Saccharomyces cerevisiae S288C: one gene and its partners. The main gene of each other region encodes a partner of the protein of the gene in region 2 in a complex. Each region holds a gene or a part of one and is shown on either strand. Other genes may lie near its edges.

The links. Proteins that work in one complex are often made in the same cells at the same time.
Region 1: MPE1 (region 2) and REF2 share a complex: the UniProt entries of both Saccharomyces cerevisiae proteins name them as parts of the cleavage and polyadenylation factor (CPF) complex.
Region 3: MPE1 (region 2) and PAP1 share a complex: the UniProt entries of both Saccharomyces cerevisiae proteins name them as parts of the cleavage and polyadenylation factor (CPF) complex.

The regions. Positions count from the first base shown.
Region 1 is NC_001136.10:846,600-850,700, forward strand, and holds REF2 (RNA-processing protein REF2), read left to right. Parts: upstream 1-1,999; coding exon 2,000-3,601; downstream 3,602-4,101. Other genes in the region: MSS116 (ATP-dependent RNA helicase), read right to left, coding at 1-1,347; YDR194W-A (uncharacterized protein), read left to right, coding at 1,472-1,624; CAB5 (putative dephospho-CoA kinase), read right to left, coding at 3,675-4,101. UniProt on the Saccharomyces cerevisiae protein: RNA-binding component of the cleavage and polyadenylation factor (CPF) complex, which plays a key role in polyadenylation-dependent pre-mRNA 3'-end formation and cooperates with cleavage factors including the CFIA complex and NAB4/CFIB.
Region 2 is NC_001143.9:326,023-333,604, reverse strand, and holds MPE1 (cleavage polyadenylation factor subunit MPE1), read left to right. Parts: upstream 1-4,161; coding exon 4,162-5,487; downstream 5,488-7,582. Other genes in the region: NUP120 (Nup120p), read left to right, coding at 1-2,749; TOA2 (transcription initiation factor IIA subunit gamma), read right to left, coding at 3,071-3,439; fructose-bisphosphate aldolase FBA1, read left to right, coding at 6,118-7,197; BLI1 (Bli1p), read right to left, coding at 7,493-7,582. UniProt on the Saccharomyces cerevisiae protein: Component of the cleavage and polyadenylation factor (CPF) complex, which plays a key role in polyadenylation-dependent pre-mRNA 3'-end formation and cooperates with cleavage factors including the CFIA complex and NAB4/CFIB.
Region 3 is NC_001143.9:441,510-445,438, forward strand, and holds PAP1 (polynucleotide adenylyltransferase PAP1), read left to right. Parts: upstream 1-1,722; coding exon 1,723-3,429; downstream 3,430-3,929. Other genes in the region: dynamin-like GTPase VPS1, read right to left, coding at 1-1,213; oxysterol-binding protein OSH6, read left to right, coding at 3,872-3,929. UniProt on the Saccharomyces cerevisiae protein: Polymerase component of the cleavage and polyadenylation factor (CPF) complex, which plays a key role in polyadenylation-dependent pre-mRNA 3'-end formation and cooperates with cleavage factors including the CFIA complex and NAB4/CFIB.

The DNA.
Region 1 (4,101 bases), on a different chromosome or scaffold from region 2:
CAAAACTTCGTGGACGTTTGGGAAATCCATACCACGGGCTCCCACATCCGTACAAACCAAAATACCGGATTCATCTTTTTTGAATCTTTTAACTAAACTTGTTCTTTTATTTTGAGTAATTTTACCATGAAATTCCAAAATTGGTAAATCTTTCTTAAATTCATTCTTTAAAATACTGCACAAAAAGGATGTGAATTTAACAGTTGGTGCAAAAATAATGGCTTTGTAATTAGAATCTCTTTCCTTTATTTGTTTCTTTATATGCTCCACAGCAGCAAATATACTATTGGCAAACTTTTCTGAAATGACGACAGACTGATCAATTCTTTCATGTGCTTCAGGTTCATTCTTATCTACTGTGTCTAAAAAGAGACATTCTTTTTTATTCATGATATTGTTTGCCAACTTTTGTACTTTGTCGTCCAGAGTAGCAGAGAACAACAAAGTCTTGATATTATCGGCTGATTTGGAGTTCTTTTCATTTAAAATACCAGAAATAGTTTCTAAATCATCCCTGAATCCAATTTCTAGCAATCTGTCAGCTTCATCTAGCACTTTGTAATCTACGAACCTAAAAAATTTGTTGGAGTATTTTTCCAAAACATCAATCAATCTCCCTGGAGTGGCAATTACAATGTTTGGTCTCAACTTATTCATTTTATTCATAGCTGCCCTGAAGTCAGTACCACCAACTAAAGAGACACAAGCGTACTTTTTCAAGCCATAATTCATATCGTGGATTTTTTTCACCTCTGCTTCGATTTGCAAGGCCAAATCTCTTGTTGGTGCGACAATAACAGCTTTTACCATATATTGAGAATCGAACTTCGTATTTATCAAATGCTGGAAAATTGGAATCAAGAAGGCAAATGTCTTACCTGTACCGGTTTTAGCTCTTGCGATAACATCATGGTCTTCACTGGATAATATTGGTTTGATAGTCTTTTGCTGTACAGGAGTTAAACCGGGAAATTCCATCCTGGTAATGGCTTTATGTATTTCTTTATCAAGGACTCCTTCCTCCAGTAAAGAGTCCAGCGTTACTTCTTTACTATTATCTTCTTTTGGGACGTGAATTAGTTTGGAAAAAGTGGTCTTATCAAAGTGCACTTCATCATCGTCTTCTCTAGACCTTGTCCTTGGGCGAGAATTGAAACGGGAGTTTCTATACCTGTTACTGTTGTTGTTTCTCTGATTCCTACCAAAATTTCTTTGATCTCTGTTTCCATCATTGTATAATCTTCTTGAAACAGCCCAAGTAATATGGTTGCAATTCGAGAGAGCTGCTAATAAATTTCTGCTTGCAAGAACAGGTGTGCGACCTTTTATCAATATAGAGGTCAACATTTATCAGCCTAACGTGCAACTCTGGTATTTTCTTGCCACTCTGAGACACCATAGTGGCCATCAATACTTCCCTTCTTTTTATAGGAAAATTTTATTCTTTCTATAATATCACTACAGACGGAGAATGAAACAGATGATGATTGAAGCATCCATAAGTAAAGACACTTTGAGGTTGCTAATTTGCTTTTTTGAAATAAAACAGTGCCATATATCACTCCAGCCTACTTGTTATTATCAGAATTGGGTACGGTATTCATCTATATATTACCAGTTGTAAATCACGATATATCACGATACACGACTCTCCGGCGCCAGCGTTTTTCGTCAGTTTTTCTCAAGGCGGTATAAAAAATCGATGATATTCGATTGAGGCACTTGTTAACAAGCATACACTGTTGGAGGCAGAACAAAACAAGCATAACTCTTTTGTACTGTATTGTACTCTACCGCTCTGTATCACGTCGGCACACCAACGGTTTCTTTTGGCGGGTCTATTATATATATTATATATACTTTTATCAAGACATCGTGTGAGTAAGTGAGGTTAAAGCTCAAAAACCTACAAGCAAAGGCACAAGGAAATCGAAAGGACCAAGAAAGGAAAAGAAAAGAAACGATACGATAAGTAAAGACACTGTGGAAGAATTGAACAATGTCAGCACCTGTTCCTCAATTAGTAAATATTTCTCATGCCTTGCAAGCTTCCACTATCCAGCAAATTCGTTTGGATATGGTAGATTTTAATAAAGATTGCAAATTATCTTCCATTCAACTGGCAAGAATTGACAAGTATATCGATTCTTTGCAAGCGGCTTTGAATCAGTTTACCAAAGATAACTTGCACATAGAACGGAAGGAAAAGAACGTGACTGAAGCAGATATACAGCTGTATTCTGGCTTAAAATCAATGTATCTAGATTATTTGAACCAGCTAATTAAACTAAAGCATGAGAAACAACACCACTCTACACCGCCCATCGCTAATGATGTCTCCCTGGACTTCTTCGTTAACCAATTGCCTAAGTTTTCTCCCGAGGAAAGGAAAAATTACATTGACAATTTAATCCTGAATAAAAATAGCCATAATCGATTATCTAAAATGGATGGTCTGGTAGATGCAGTCATCAATTTATGCGTCTTGGATACTTCCGTTGCTGAAAATGTACGATCCTATATGAAATTATTAGATACATTGGGTTTCCAAAAGGGTTCGAATAGTACTGGTACAAAGGCCAACCTCAAAAAGAAATTGGCTAGTTCGAAAGCAAAGATAAAGGATTCAGAAAAAGAAAAGGAGAAGGAGAAGGATAAATCAAAAGTCAAGATGAAAACTAAATTAAAACCTTCTCCTTTGCTCAATAACGATGACAAAAATTCTTCTCCATCGCCTACTGCATCTACCTCTTCAATGAAGAAATTGAAGTCGGGTTTATTCAATAAAAATGAAGCTAAGTCTACAGAATCTCTACCTACTTCTTCCAAGAAAAAACTATCATTTTCTAAATATCTGAACAAGGATGACGCAGATATGACCAAGCTTGGGACTAAACGGTCAATAGATGTGGATTTCAAAGTCAACCCCGAAGCATCCACGGTGGCTTCTAATATCATATCTTCGTCAACGTCAGGATCGTCAACCACAACGGTAGCGACTCCTGCTTCTTCAGAAGAGCCCTTAAAAAAAAAAACCAAAATATCCGTGCAAGACTCTAATGTACAATCGATTTTGAGAAATGGTAAACCGAAAAAAGCACGCATAAGTAGCATCAAATTTTTGGATGATTCCCAACTAATAAAAGTTTACGGTGACGATCTACCGAACCAAGGGCTACAAGTTTCTCCTACTCAATTGAAAAAAATTCTGAAACCATTCAAGGAGGGGGAACCGAAGGAAATTATATTGTTCGAGGATATGTCAATCAAATTAAAACCTCTTGATTTGATGTTTCTGAAGAACACAAACAGTGATGACTATATGGATATATCCGAGACTAAAGGTGGCCCAATACATTGTGAAACAAGGACCCCGTTGATCTATAGAAAAAATTTCAATCATTTCAACCCGGACTTGAATAAAAGGCCGCCAAGAGAACCCATAGAATTCGACTTAAATGGAAATACGAACTCAACCCCGACTATAGCAAAGGCTTTCGGTAAAAATAGTTTATTACTAAGGAAGGACAGAGGTGGTTTGCCATACAAGCATGTCCCCATAGTAAAAAGAAATAAATATCCTCCAAGACCAGTACACTAAGCTATGACATGCTGATACATAAACATGTAGTATATATACTCATTTTATATAATGTAATTATAAGATATCAACCTTATACCGCTGAAGACTTTTTATTTTGAAGTTTTTTCATCAGTAATCTGGACATGACGATGCTACTGGCACTTACGGCCCCAAAAGGTGGGAAATACTCCAAAACAGTTCTTAATTTACTAGGTTGGATTTTTTTTACAACACTTTCAATCTGTTCGTATAAGTCAACCAATGTGCTGTTATTTTGTAGGATATAGTCAGATCTTGCCATCCTTTCTTCAGTGCTCATTTGACTATTTAGCCTGTTTTTTGCATCTTCTTCACTAAGTTCAGGATTTCTTGTCATTAATCTTTCTAGTTGCAATTCTTGCGTACAAATTACGCTTACAGTCACTCCGCATATTGAATCCAGATTTCCTTCAAATAAGAGTGGCACATCCAATACACACATTCTATATCCCTTCAAGTAATAGTAGCCAATTTCTTTG
Region 2 (7,582 bases):
CTTAAAAGATGGTTCGTTTTTAACGTTACAACTACCCCTAAGTTTCCTATTTTCATCGGCCAACACTCTCAATGGAGAGTGGTTTCATCTCCAAAATCCCTACGACTTTACAGTTAGAGTTCCTCATTTCCTTTTCTATGTATCACCCCAGTTCTCAGTTGTTTTTTTGGAAGATGGCGGTTTGTTGGGTTTAAAAAAAGTTGACGGCGTACATTACGAGCCTTTACTATTCAATGATAATTCATACTTGAAAAGCCTAACGCGATTTTTTTCTAGGAGTTCTAAATCGGATTACGATAGTGTGATTAGTTGTAAATTATTCCATGAAAGATACTTAATTGTGTTGACTCAGAATTGCCACTTGAAAATTTGGGATTTAACTTCATTTACTTTAATACAAGATTATGATATGGTTTCACAGTCAGATTCAGACCCAAGCCATTTTAGAAAAGTGGAAGCTGTAGGGGAATACCTTTCCTTGTATAACAATACTCTAGTTACATTGTTGCCTTTGGAAAATGGGCTTTTTCAAATGGGCACCTTGTTGGTTGATTCAAGCGGTATTTTGACTTATACTTTTCAAAATAACATCCCCACTAATCTTTCAGCTTCTGCTATTTGGTCAATTGTAGATTTAGTTCTAACGAGACCATTGGAGTTGAATGTCGAGGCTAGTTATTTAAATTTGATCGTTTTATGGAAAAGTGGCACTGCTAGCAAGTTACAGATACTAAACGTAAATGATGAAAGTTTCAAAAACTATGAATGGATAGAATCAGTTAACAAATCCTTAGTAGATTTGCAATCCGAACATGATTTGGATATCGTTACAAAGACTGGAGATGTTGAGAGGGGTTTCTGTAATTTGAAATCAAGATATGGTACCCAAATTTTTGAACGTGCACAGCAAATATTGAGTGAAAATAAGATTATTATGGCTCATAACGAAGATGAAGAATATTTGGCTAATTTAGAAACAATATTGAGAGACGTAAAAACCGCATTCAACGAGGCTTCTTCTATAACACTTTATGGCGATGAAATTATTCTCGTCAATTGTTTCCAACCGTATAATCATTCCCTTTACAAGCTGAATACTACTGTGGAGAATTGGTTTTATAATATGCACTCTGAAACTGATGGTTCTGAATTGTTCAAGTATTTAAGGACATTGAATGGTTTTGCTTCTACTTTGTCAAATGATGTTCTTAGATCCATTTCTAAGAAGTTTCTTGATATAATAACAGGAGAGCTGCCTGATTCTATGACTACCGTAGAAAAATTTACGGACATTTTCAAAAATTGCCTAGAAAATCAATTTGAAATCACAAATCTAAAGATTCTTTTCGACGAATTAAACTCTTTTGATATACCCGTTGTTTTAAATGATTTAATCAATAACCAAATGAAGCCTGGTATATTTTGGAAAAAGGATTTCATCTCTGCAATCAAATTCGATGGTTTCACAAGTATAATTTCCCTAGAATCTCTTCACCAGTTACTTTCCATACATTATCGTATTACTTTACAAGTATTGTTAACATTCGTTCTGTTCGATCTTGATACCGAAATTTTCGGACAGCATATATCTACATTATTGGATTTGCATTATAAGCAATTTTTATTGTTAAACCTTTATAGACAAGATAAGTGTCTGTTGGCGGAAGTTCTTCTCAAGGATTCTTCTGAATTCTCTTTCGGTGTCAAATTTTTTAACTACGGCCAACTCATTGCCTATATCGATTCCTTAAACTCTAATGTTTACAATGCTTCCATCACTGAAAATTCTTTCTTTATGACGTTTTTCCGCTCATATATCATTGAAAACACATCTCATAAGAATATAAGGTTCTTTCTCGAGAACGTTGAATGCCCCTTCTACTTACGCCACAACGAGGTGCAAGAATTTATGTTTGCCATGACGTTATTTAGTTGTGGTAATTTCGATCAATCCTATGAAATTTTTCAACTACACGATTATCCGGAGGCTATCAATGATAAATTGCCGACATTCTTAGAAGACCTTAAGAGTGAAAACTATCACGGTGATAGTATATGGAAAGATCTTTTGTGCACCTTTACAGTTCCATATAGGCATTCTGCATTCTATTATCAATTATCTCTCTTATTTGATAGAAATAACAGCCAAGAATTTGCTTTGAAATGTATATCTAAGTCAGCAGAATATTCATTAAAAGAAATTCAGATTGAAGAACTGCAAGACTTCAAAGAAAAACAGCATATTCATTATTTAAATCTTTTAATCCACTTCAGAATGTTTGAAGAAGTCTTGGATGTTTTGAGATTGGGTCACGAGTGTCTTTCCGACACAGTAAGAACAAATTTTCTCCAATTATTATTACAGGAAGACATATATTCACGAGATTTTTTCAGCACACTTCTGCGCTTGTGTAACGCACATTCAGACAATGGCGAGCTATATCTTCGTACAGTAGATATTAAAATAGTGGATAGTATTCTGTCACAAAATCTACGGAGTGGTGATTGGGAGTGTTTTAAGAAACTTTATTGTTTTAGAATGTTGAACAAAAGCGAGAGGGCTGCTGCAGAAGTACTGTACCAGTACATATTAATGCAAGCTGATCTTGATGTTATTCGAAAGAGAAAATGTTACCTAATGGTCATCAACGTTTTATCTAGCTTTGATAGTGCATACGATCAATGGATTCTAAACGGAAGTAAAGTGGTTACTTTAACTGATTTAAGAGATGAGTTACGAGGTCTATAGTGAATATATAAACTGTAAATTAATACTTCATTTAAAAAATTGATCAACTCAAATCCGAATATTAGCACCATGATCTTCGTTTGTTTTTTAAGTAAAAAGATTGAACTTTAAATCTAAATTATTATTACATGAATGTACAGACAGGAAAAATAAAAAACAAAAACAGAAGAATCACAAGTTCCCTAATATAAAAGAATACAAAACATTATTTCATGACACTGTTCCTAGAGCTTGTATTAAAAGCGGTAGAAGAGAGGAGATAATAGAGAAATTTCAATGTAACTATTGGTCAACAAAGCATCCGGGCATATAGCATAGATATTACTCGCTCTTTTTTGAGTTACATGCCACAATCCTCAACTTATCCACCGAAATTACACTTTGGCTATCTCCAGACCCGTTCTGGGAGGCGTCGCGGTGGCTGTCCTCAACAGTAACCTGACAATTTTTTACGATAAAAGTCCAAACATCATCGCAAAATCCATATGTGTCCAGGTTTCCTTTCACAGTCAATTTAGATTGGGTATTGTCTTTTAAAGTCTCAGCCACCACTTTGTCAAATGTCTCTAAAACACGCATAGCTAACGACGCTTCTATTCTCCCATCACTAATTAAAGTATCAAGAGCATCCACCAAACTATTCCCTATAGTACTTCTACGATATAATTCGTAATACCCGGGTACTGCCATTTATCCTTACTGTTATCTTCGATAGCCTGTGTCCCCCTCCTAACCTCTAAGTGCATCTTCTACTTATTCCTTATTCGGTCGAATATTTCACAAAGTATTCTAAGGCGTTAAGAAAATATTGTTATTAGTAAAATTAGCTTACCCGGCAATACAACAATAATGAAGCTAACATTATGTTGTATTGACAATTCAGTTCATGTTTGACATTTGCCTAGCAGAAGACATTATCTGCCATGCAACCTGAAAATTCATAGAACTTTTGGAACTTATTTATCTATCTTTCTTCAATTTCTTTGGTTAACACTTTTTTTTTATGTTTTTTTACGTTTTGAGATCATAAATATTTGGAAATATAAATAATCACAAATTCATAACAACTCTTTTTTTAGATAAAGTAAAAACACAGTTATGTATGTAAAGTATTTTAAAACATAAAAAAGGATGATCGACTTGATATATTCATTATCATGTAGTGTATAAGCGGTAAATATAACTACCTTAATCCATTGCTGGTGCAATAACCTTCCTTATGCCATTATATTATGTCACAACATTGTAATTCAGGCGGGTAACTTTACTGAAAGTTAATACAATGATGATGAATATCAAGCATATTGTTAATAACCAAGTTTATGGCCAACATAAAATAAGCAAGAACAATCAAGAGGGTACTGAAATTTCGGTAGCTCTCATCATATCGGCAGAGACTGGAATAGTGTAACATGAGTAGCACGATATTTTACCGCTTTAAGTCTCAACGAAACACATCAAGAATTTTATTTGATGGTACCGGCCTGACAGTATTTGATTTGAAAAGGGAAATTATTCAAGAGAACAAACTAGGTGACGGCACAGATTTCCAATTAAAAATTTACAACCCAGATACAGAAGAGGAATACGACGATGATGCCTTTGTTATACCTAGATCTACTAGTGTCATAGTAAAAAGATCTCCAGCAATTAAATCATTCTCCGTACACAGTCGACTTAAAGGGAATGTGGGAGCAGCAGCTCTTGGGAACGCAACAAGGTATGTTACTGGTAGGCCAAGAGTGTTGCAAAAGAGACAACACACTGCTACAACCACTGCTAATGTTAGTGGTACAACGGAAGAAGAAAGAATTGCTAGTATGTTTGCCACACAAGAAAATCAATGGGAACAAACGCAAGAAGAAATGTCTGCAGCCACACCTGTTTTTTTCAAGTCACAGACGAATAAGAATTCTGCACAAGAAAACGAAGGCCCACCGCCACCAGGTTATATGTGCTATCGTTGTGGGGGTAGAGACCACTGGATTAAAAATTGTCCAACTAACAGCGATCCAAATTTTGAAGGAAAAAGAATCAGAAGAACCACAGGTATTCCAAAGAAGTTTTTAAAATCCATTGAAATAGATCCCGAGACAATGACACCGGAAGAGATGGCTCAGCGAAAGATTATGATTACGGACGAAGGCAAGTTCGTGGTACAAGTTGAAGACAAACAATCATGGGAAGACTACCAAAGGAAAAGAGAGAACCGTCAAATTGATGGTGATGAAACCATTTGGAGAAAAGGCCATTTCAAAGATCTTCCTGACGATTTAAAATGTCCCTTGACAGGTGGTCTTTTGAGGCAGCCGGTAAAGACAAGCAAGTGCTGTAACATAGATTTCTCAAAAGAGGCGCTGGAAAATGCACTGGTAGAGAGCGACTTTGTATGCCCCAATTGCGAAACCCGCGATATCCTTCTCGATTCTTTAGTACCCGACCAGGACAAGGAAAAGGAGGTCGAAACGTTTTTGAAGAAACAAGAGGAACTACACGGAAGCTCTAAAGATGGCAACCAGCCAGAAACTAAGAAAATGAAGTTGATGGATCCAACTGGCACCGCTGGCTTGAACAACAATACCAGCCTTCCAACTTCTGTAAATAACGGCGGTACGCCAGTGCCACCAGTACCGTTACCTTTCGGTATACCTCCTTTCCCCATGTTTCCAATGCCCTTCATGCCTCCAACGGCTACTATCACAAATCCTCATCAAGCTGACGCAAGCCCTAAGAAATGAATAACAATACTGACAGTACTAAATAATTGCCTACTTGGCTTCACATACGTTGCATACGTCGATATAGATAATAATGATAATGACAGCAGGATTATCGTAATACGTAATAGTTGAAAATCTCAAAAATGTGTGGGTCATTACGTAAATAATGATAGGAATGGGATTCTTCTATTTTTCCTTTTTCCATTCTAGCAGCCGTCGGGAAAACGTGGCATCCTCTCTTTCGGGCTCAATTGGAGTCACGCTGCCGTGAGCATCCTCTCTTTCCATATCTAACAACTGAGCACGTAACCAATGGAAAAGCATGAGCTTAGCGTTGCTCCAAAAAAGTATTGGATGGTTAATACCATTTGTCTGTTCTCTTCTGACTTTGACTCCTCAAAAAAAAAAAATCTACAATCAACAGATCGCTTCAATTACGCCCTCACAAAAACTTTTTTCCTTCTTCTTCGCCCACGTTAAATTTTATCCCTCATGTTGTCTAACGGATTTCTGCACTTGATTTATTATAAAAAGACAAAGACATAATACTTCTCTATCAATTTCAGTTATTGTTCTTCCTTGCGTTATTCTTCTGTTCTTCTTTTTCTTTTGTCATATATAACCATAACCAAGTAATACATATTCAAAATGGGTGTTGAACAAATCTTAAAGAGAAAGACCGGTGTCATCGTTGGTGAAGATGTCCACAACTTATTCACTTACGCTAAGGAACACAAGTTCGCTATTCCAGCTATTAACGTCACCTCTTCTTCTACTGCCGTCGCTGCTTTAGAAGCTGCTAGAGACAGCAAGTCCCCAATCATTTTGCAAACCTCTAACGGTGGTGCTGCTTACTTCGCTGGTAAGGGTATCTCTAACGAAGGTCAAAATGCTTCCATCAAGGGTGCTATTGCCGCTGCCCACTACATCAGATCCATTGCTCCAGCTTACGGTATCCCAGTTGTCTTACACTCTGACCACTGTGCCAAGAAGTTGTTGCCATGGTTCGATGGTATGTTGGAAGCTGATGAAGCTTACTTCAAGGAACACGGTGAACCATTATTCTCCTCCCACATGTTGGATTTGTCTGAAGAAACCGATGAAGAAAACATCTCTACTTGTGTCAAGTACTTCAAGAGAATGGCCGCTATGGACCAATGGTTAGAAATGGAAATCGGTATTACCGGTGGTGAAGAAGATGGTGTTAACAACGAAAACGCTGACAAGGAAGACTTGTACACCAAGCCAGAACAAGTTTACAACGTCTACAAGGCTTTGCACCCAATCTCTCCAAACTTCTCCATTGCTGCTGCTTTCGGTAACTGTCACGGTTTGTACGCTGGTGACATCGCTTTGAGACCAGAAATCTTGGCTGAACACCAAAAGTACACCAGAGAACAAGTTGGTTGCAAGGAAGAAAAGCCATTGTTCTTGGTCTTCCACGGTGGTTCCGGTTCTACTGTCCAAGAATTCCACACTGGTATTGACAACGGTGTTGTCAAGGTCAACTTGGACACTGACTGTCAATACGCTTACTTGACTGGTATCAGAGACTACGTCTTGAACAAGAAGGACTACATAATGTCCCCAGTCGGTAACCCAGAAGGTCCAGAAAAGCCAAACAAGAAGTTCTTCGACCCAAGAGTCTGGGTTAGAGAAGGTGAAAAGACCATGGGTGCTAAGATCACCAAGTCTTTGGAAACTTTCCGTACCACTAACACTTTATAAGTTAATTCAAATTAATTGATATAGTTTTTTAATGAGTATTGAATCTGTTTAGAAATAATGGAATATTATTTTTATTTATTTATTTATATTATTGGTCGGCTCTTTTCTTCTGAAGGTCAATGACAAAATGATATGAAGGAAATAATGATTTCTAAAATTTTACAACGTAAGATATTTTTACAAAAGCCTAGCTCATCTTTTGTCATGCACTATTTTACTCACGCTTGAAATTAACGGCCAGTCCACTGCGGAGTCATTTCAAAGTCATCCTAATCGATCTATCGTTTTTGATAGCTCATTTTGGAGTTCGCGATTGTCTTCTGTTATTCACAACTGTTTTAATTTTTATTTCATTCTGGAACTCTTCGAGTTCTTTGTAAAGTCT
Region 3 (3,929 bases), 110 kb from region 2:
ATACGTAAGAAATTCTAGCACCACCAGAAAGTTCCTGACTGGAAAGCTCCTTCGCCTCACCGTCCAAGATACCGGCATATTCATTGGAAAAATCAGTAATCATGCTCAAAACAACCGAACTAGCTGAATCCATAGTTTCTGGGCCCAAGTTTATAAGTTCGTTTTGATATTTTTTCAATGTGGCTTCGATTTTCGCTTTGATTTCTGGCAGAGTTTGCCTAATGTGGTGTAATAAGATTGAGTTTAACTTTTTAGCCAAATATGGTGTACCACAGTAATGAGCTTTAGAACTGTAAGAGGGATGGTTCTCAAAAAATTTTCTTTCGTTTTCAAGGGCTTCTCTGATTGTTTTTTTGTGTTCAATATCCTTTTGACCTCTATTGATAACTGGGATATAACCATATCTCAAAGGAATGACTCTTCCAGCCAAAATATCTATGACATCTGTACCTTGATCCATCAAATCGACTTTTGTCAAGACACCAATAGTTCTCGTTCCTTCTGGATCGACCTCTCTAGCCAGCTTCAAACCATCGCTGTTGGCTAAATCGGTGTTAGCGGCATTAACAGATAATATGATAGCGTTTGGTTTCGAAATATACTTTAACAACATGTCCTTAATTTGTCTTTCAATATCAGGAGGTTGGTCACCTACGGGAACCTTCGTCAACCCAGGCAAATCCACTAACGTCAAAGTAAGAACATGCGGAGAATAAATTCTCAAGTTAATGGGCACAGAAGAAATACCTGAATTGGCACCTGTCACTTTGTCAGTTTCTTTGACGATTTCCTTTCTAATTTCGTCAAAATTATAAAACTTCTTACCAGGTAAATGCAAAAATTCACCCCATTCCTCTTTATTGTCTTCAGATTGTCCCTCGTTCTGGTGCTTTCCTGATTCATCCTTTTTCTTGTCATCATCGTTGATGTTCAAGTCAATCAATTCATTAGCAGTTTGGTTTACTTTAGCATGTTCTGACTTTTTTGGTCTCCTATTAATCAATTGTAACACTAAAGGTCTCCTGGTGACAATACCAGTACCTCTTGGCAAGAAATCCCTACCAACAATGTTCTCCAAAACGGACGACTTTCCTGACGACTGGGAACCGACAACAGTGATCTGTGGTAAATCAATAGGAGATTGAGATCCTCCTCCTAAGGGCGCCAAAGCGTCCTGAAGCTTGTTAATAGTAGAAATTAAATGCTCATCCATGATATCTGATAATATAAAATGTGCAGTTTTCGTACGGTCCTTATTTTGGTGCTATAAAAGGCCTCTCTAATTCTTTTTTAGGAGTAAATAGATGAATTATCTCGGTCTGTCTTGGAAGATATGTTGTTCTCTTGATGGCAAAGCGACGCGAATCAACGGCGCCCAAGTCTTTGGGTGACCCGGCCACTTAATAATGTTTGGGGAAGAAATCAATCCATTAGAACATTGGTTTTGGAAACTAGGCCAGTCCAAGCGCACAAGTGGTTTACCCTCGAGCATTTTTCGACTATTAGAGGATTCAAGTATCTATCGAATTCTCTGAAGCTATCATACTATCCTCTGGACGATATTAGAACGATTTTTCAAGTGAAACGTTTTAGCAAAAGTTTAAAGACACTAAACTAGCTAAATAATTTCACTGTGAGCAAGTCTTTAAACGGTCTTTTTTGAATCAAAAGAGGCCTAGAATTAGCAAAATATTTAACGCATAAACTTTTTTTAGACAAATAATGAGCTCTCAAAAGGTTTTTGGTATTACTGGACCTGTTTCCACCGTGGGCGCCACAGCAGCAGAAAATAAATTAAATGATAGTTTAATCCAAGAACTGAAAAAGGAAGGATCGTTCGAAACAGAGCAAGAAACTGCCAATAGGGTACAAGTGTTGAAAATATTGCAGGAATTGGCACAAAGATTTGTTTATGAAGTATCGAAGAAGAAAAATATGTCAGACGGGATGGCAAGGGATGCTGGTGGGAAGATTTTTACGTATGGGTCCTATAGACTAGGAGTCCATGGGCCTGGTAGTGATATCGATACTTTGGTAGTTGTTCCAAAACATGTAACTCGGGAAGATTTTTTTACGGTATTTGATTCACTACTGAGAGAGAGGAAGGAACTGGATGAAATTGCACCTGTACCTGATGCGTTTGTCCCGATTATCAAGATAAAGTTCAGTGGTATTTCTATCGATTTAATCTGTGCACGTCTAGACCAACCTCAAGTGCCTTTATCCTTGACTTTATCAGATAAAAATCTACTGCGAAATCTAGACGAGAAGGACTTGAGAGCTTTGAATGGTACCAGAGTAACAGATGAGATATTAGAACTGGTACCAAAGCCGAATGTTTTCAGAATCGCTTTAAGAGCTATTAAGCTATGGGCCCAAAGAAGGGCTGTTTATGCTAATATTTTTGGTTTTCCTGGTGGTGTGGCTTGGGCCATGCTAGTGGCTAGAATTTGTCAACTATACCCTAACGCCTGTAGCGCAGTTATATTGAACAGATTTTTCATCATTTTGTCGGAATGGAATTGGCCACAACCTGTTATCTTGAAACCAATTGAGGATGGCCCGTTACAAGTTCGTGTATGGAATCCAAAGATATATGCCCAAGACAGGTCTCATAGAATGCCCGTCATTACACCAGCTTATCCATCAATGTGTGCTACCCATAACATCACGGAATCTACTAAAAAAGTCATTTTACAGGAATTCGTAAGAGGCGTTCAAATTACGAATGATATTTTTTCCAATAAGAAGTCCTGGGCCAATTTATTCGAAAAAAACGATTTTTTCTTTCGATACAAGTTCTATTTAGAAATTACTGCATATACAAGGGGCAGTGACGAGCAGCATTTAAAATGGAGTGGTCTTGTTGAAAGTAAGGTAAGGCTTCTAGTTATGAAACTGGAGGTGTTAGCTGGAATAAAAATTGCACATCCTTTCACCAAACCCTTTGAAAGTAGTTATTGTTGTCCAACCGAGGATGACTATGAAATGATTCAAGACAAATACGGTAGTCATAAAACTGAGACAGCACTGAACGCCCTTAAACTGGTAACAGATGAAAATAAAGAGGAAGAAAGTATTAAAGATGCACCAAAGGCATATTTAAGCACCATGTACATAGGCCTTGACTTTAATATTGAAAACAAAAAGGAAAAAGTTGACATTCACATTCCCTGCACTGAATTTGTGAATTTATGTCGAAGTTTCAATGAGGATTATGGTGACCACAAAGTATTCAATCTAGCCCTCCGCTTCGTAAAGGGTTACGATTTGCCAGATGAAGTTTTCGATGAAAATGAAAAGAGACCATCAAAGAAGAGTAAAAGGAAGAATTTAGATGCTAGACATGAAACCGTGAAGAGATCTAAATCAGATGCTGCTTCAGGTGACAACATCAATGGCACAACCGCAGCTGTTGACGTAAACTAAGACATTCCTATTTATAGTTGAATAGTTTATTAATATAGGTTAATCAGTCATAAACAAATTTGTACCCTTTTTTTTGAATCAAAGTACTTTTTTTACGAAGCAGTAAAACGTTTACGAGATTCTCTCTACATATGCTCTTTCGCGTGTAGCGACATTTTACCATTAGGTGAGAATTTTGTGTTACAAGCTGGATGTCAGGATGATACCTTTGAAGGCATAGTTAAATTGGCTGGGAAAGGAACGGAACCTTTTCCTTTCCGAGTTTCGGCCAGATATTTAGGCTTTTTTTTTTCTGACGGAATAGGGGACCCAGGATTGACAAATATAACAAAACAAGCTTCAACGAGACGTTTATCTCGAGAATTACGTCTGACAGTTACATGAAGTGTGAGTTCATGCAATCTGTACCTTTATTGACACAGATATACTAAAAGAAGTTACAATGGGCTCCAAAAAACTGACCGTAGGATCTGATTCGCACCGGTTGAGCAAATCCAGTT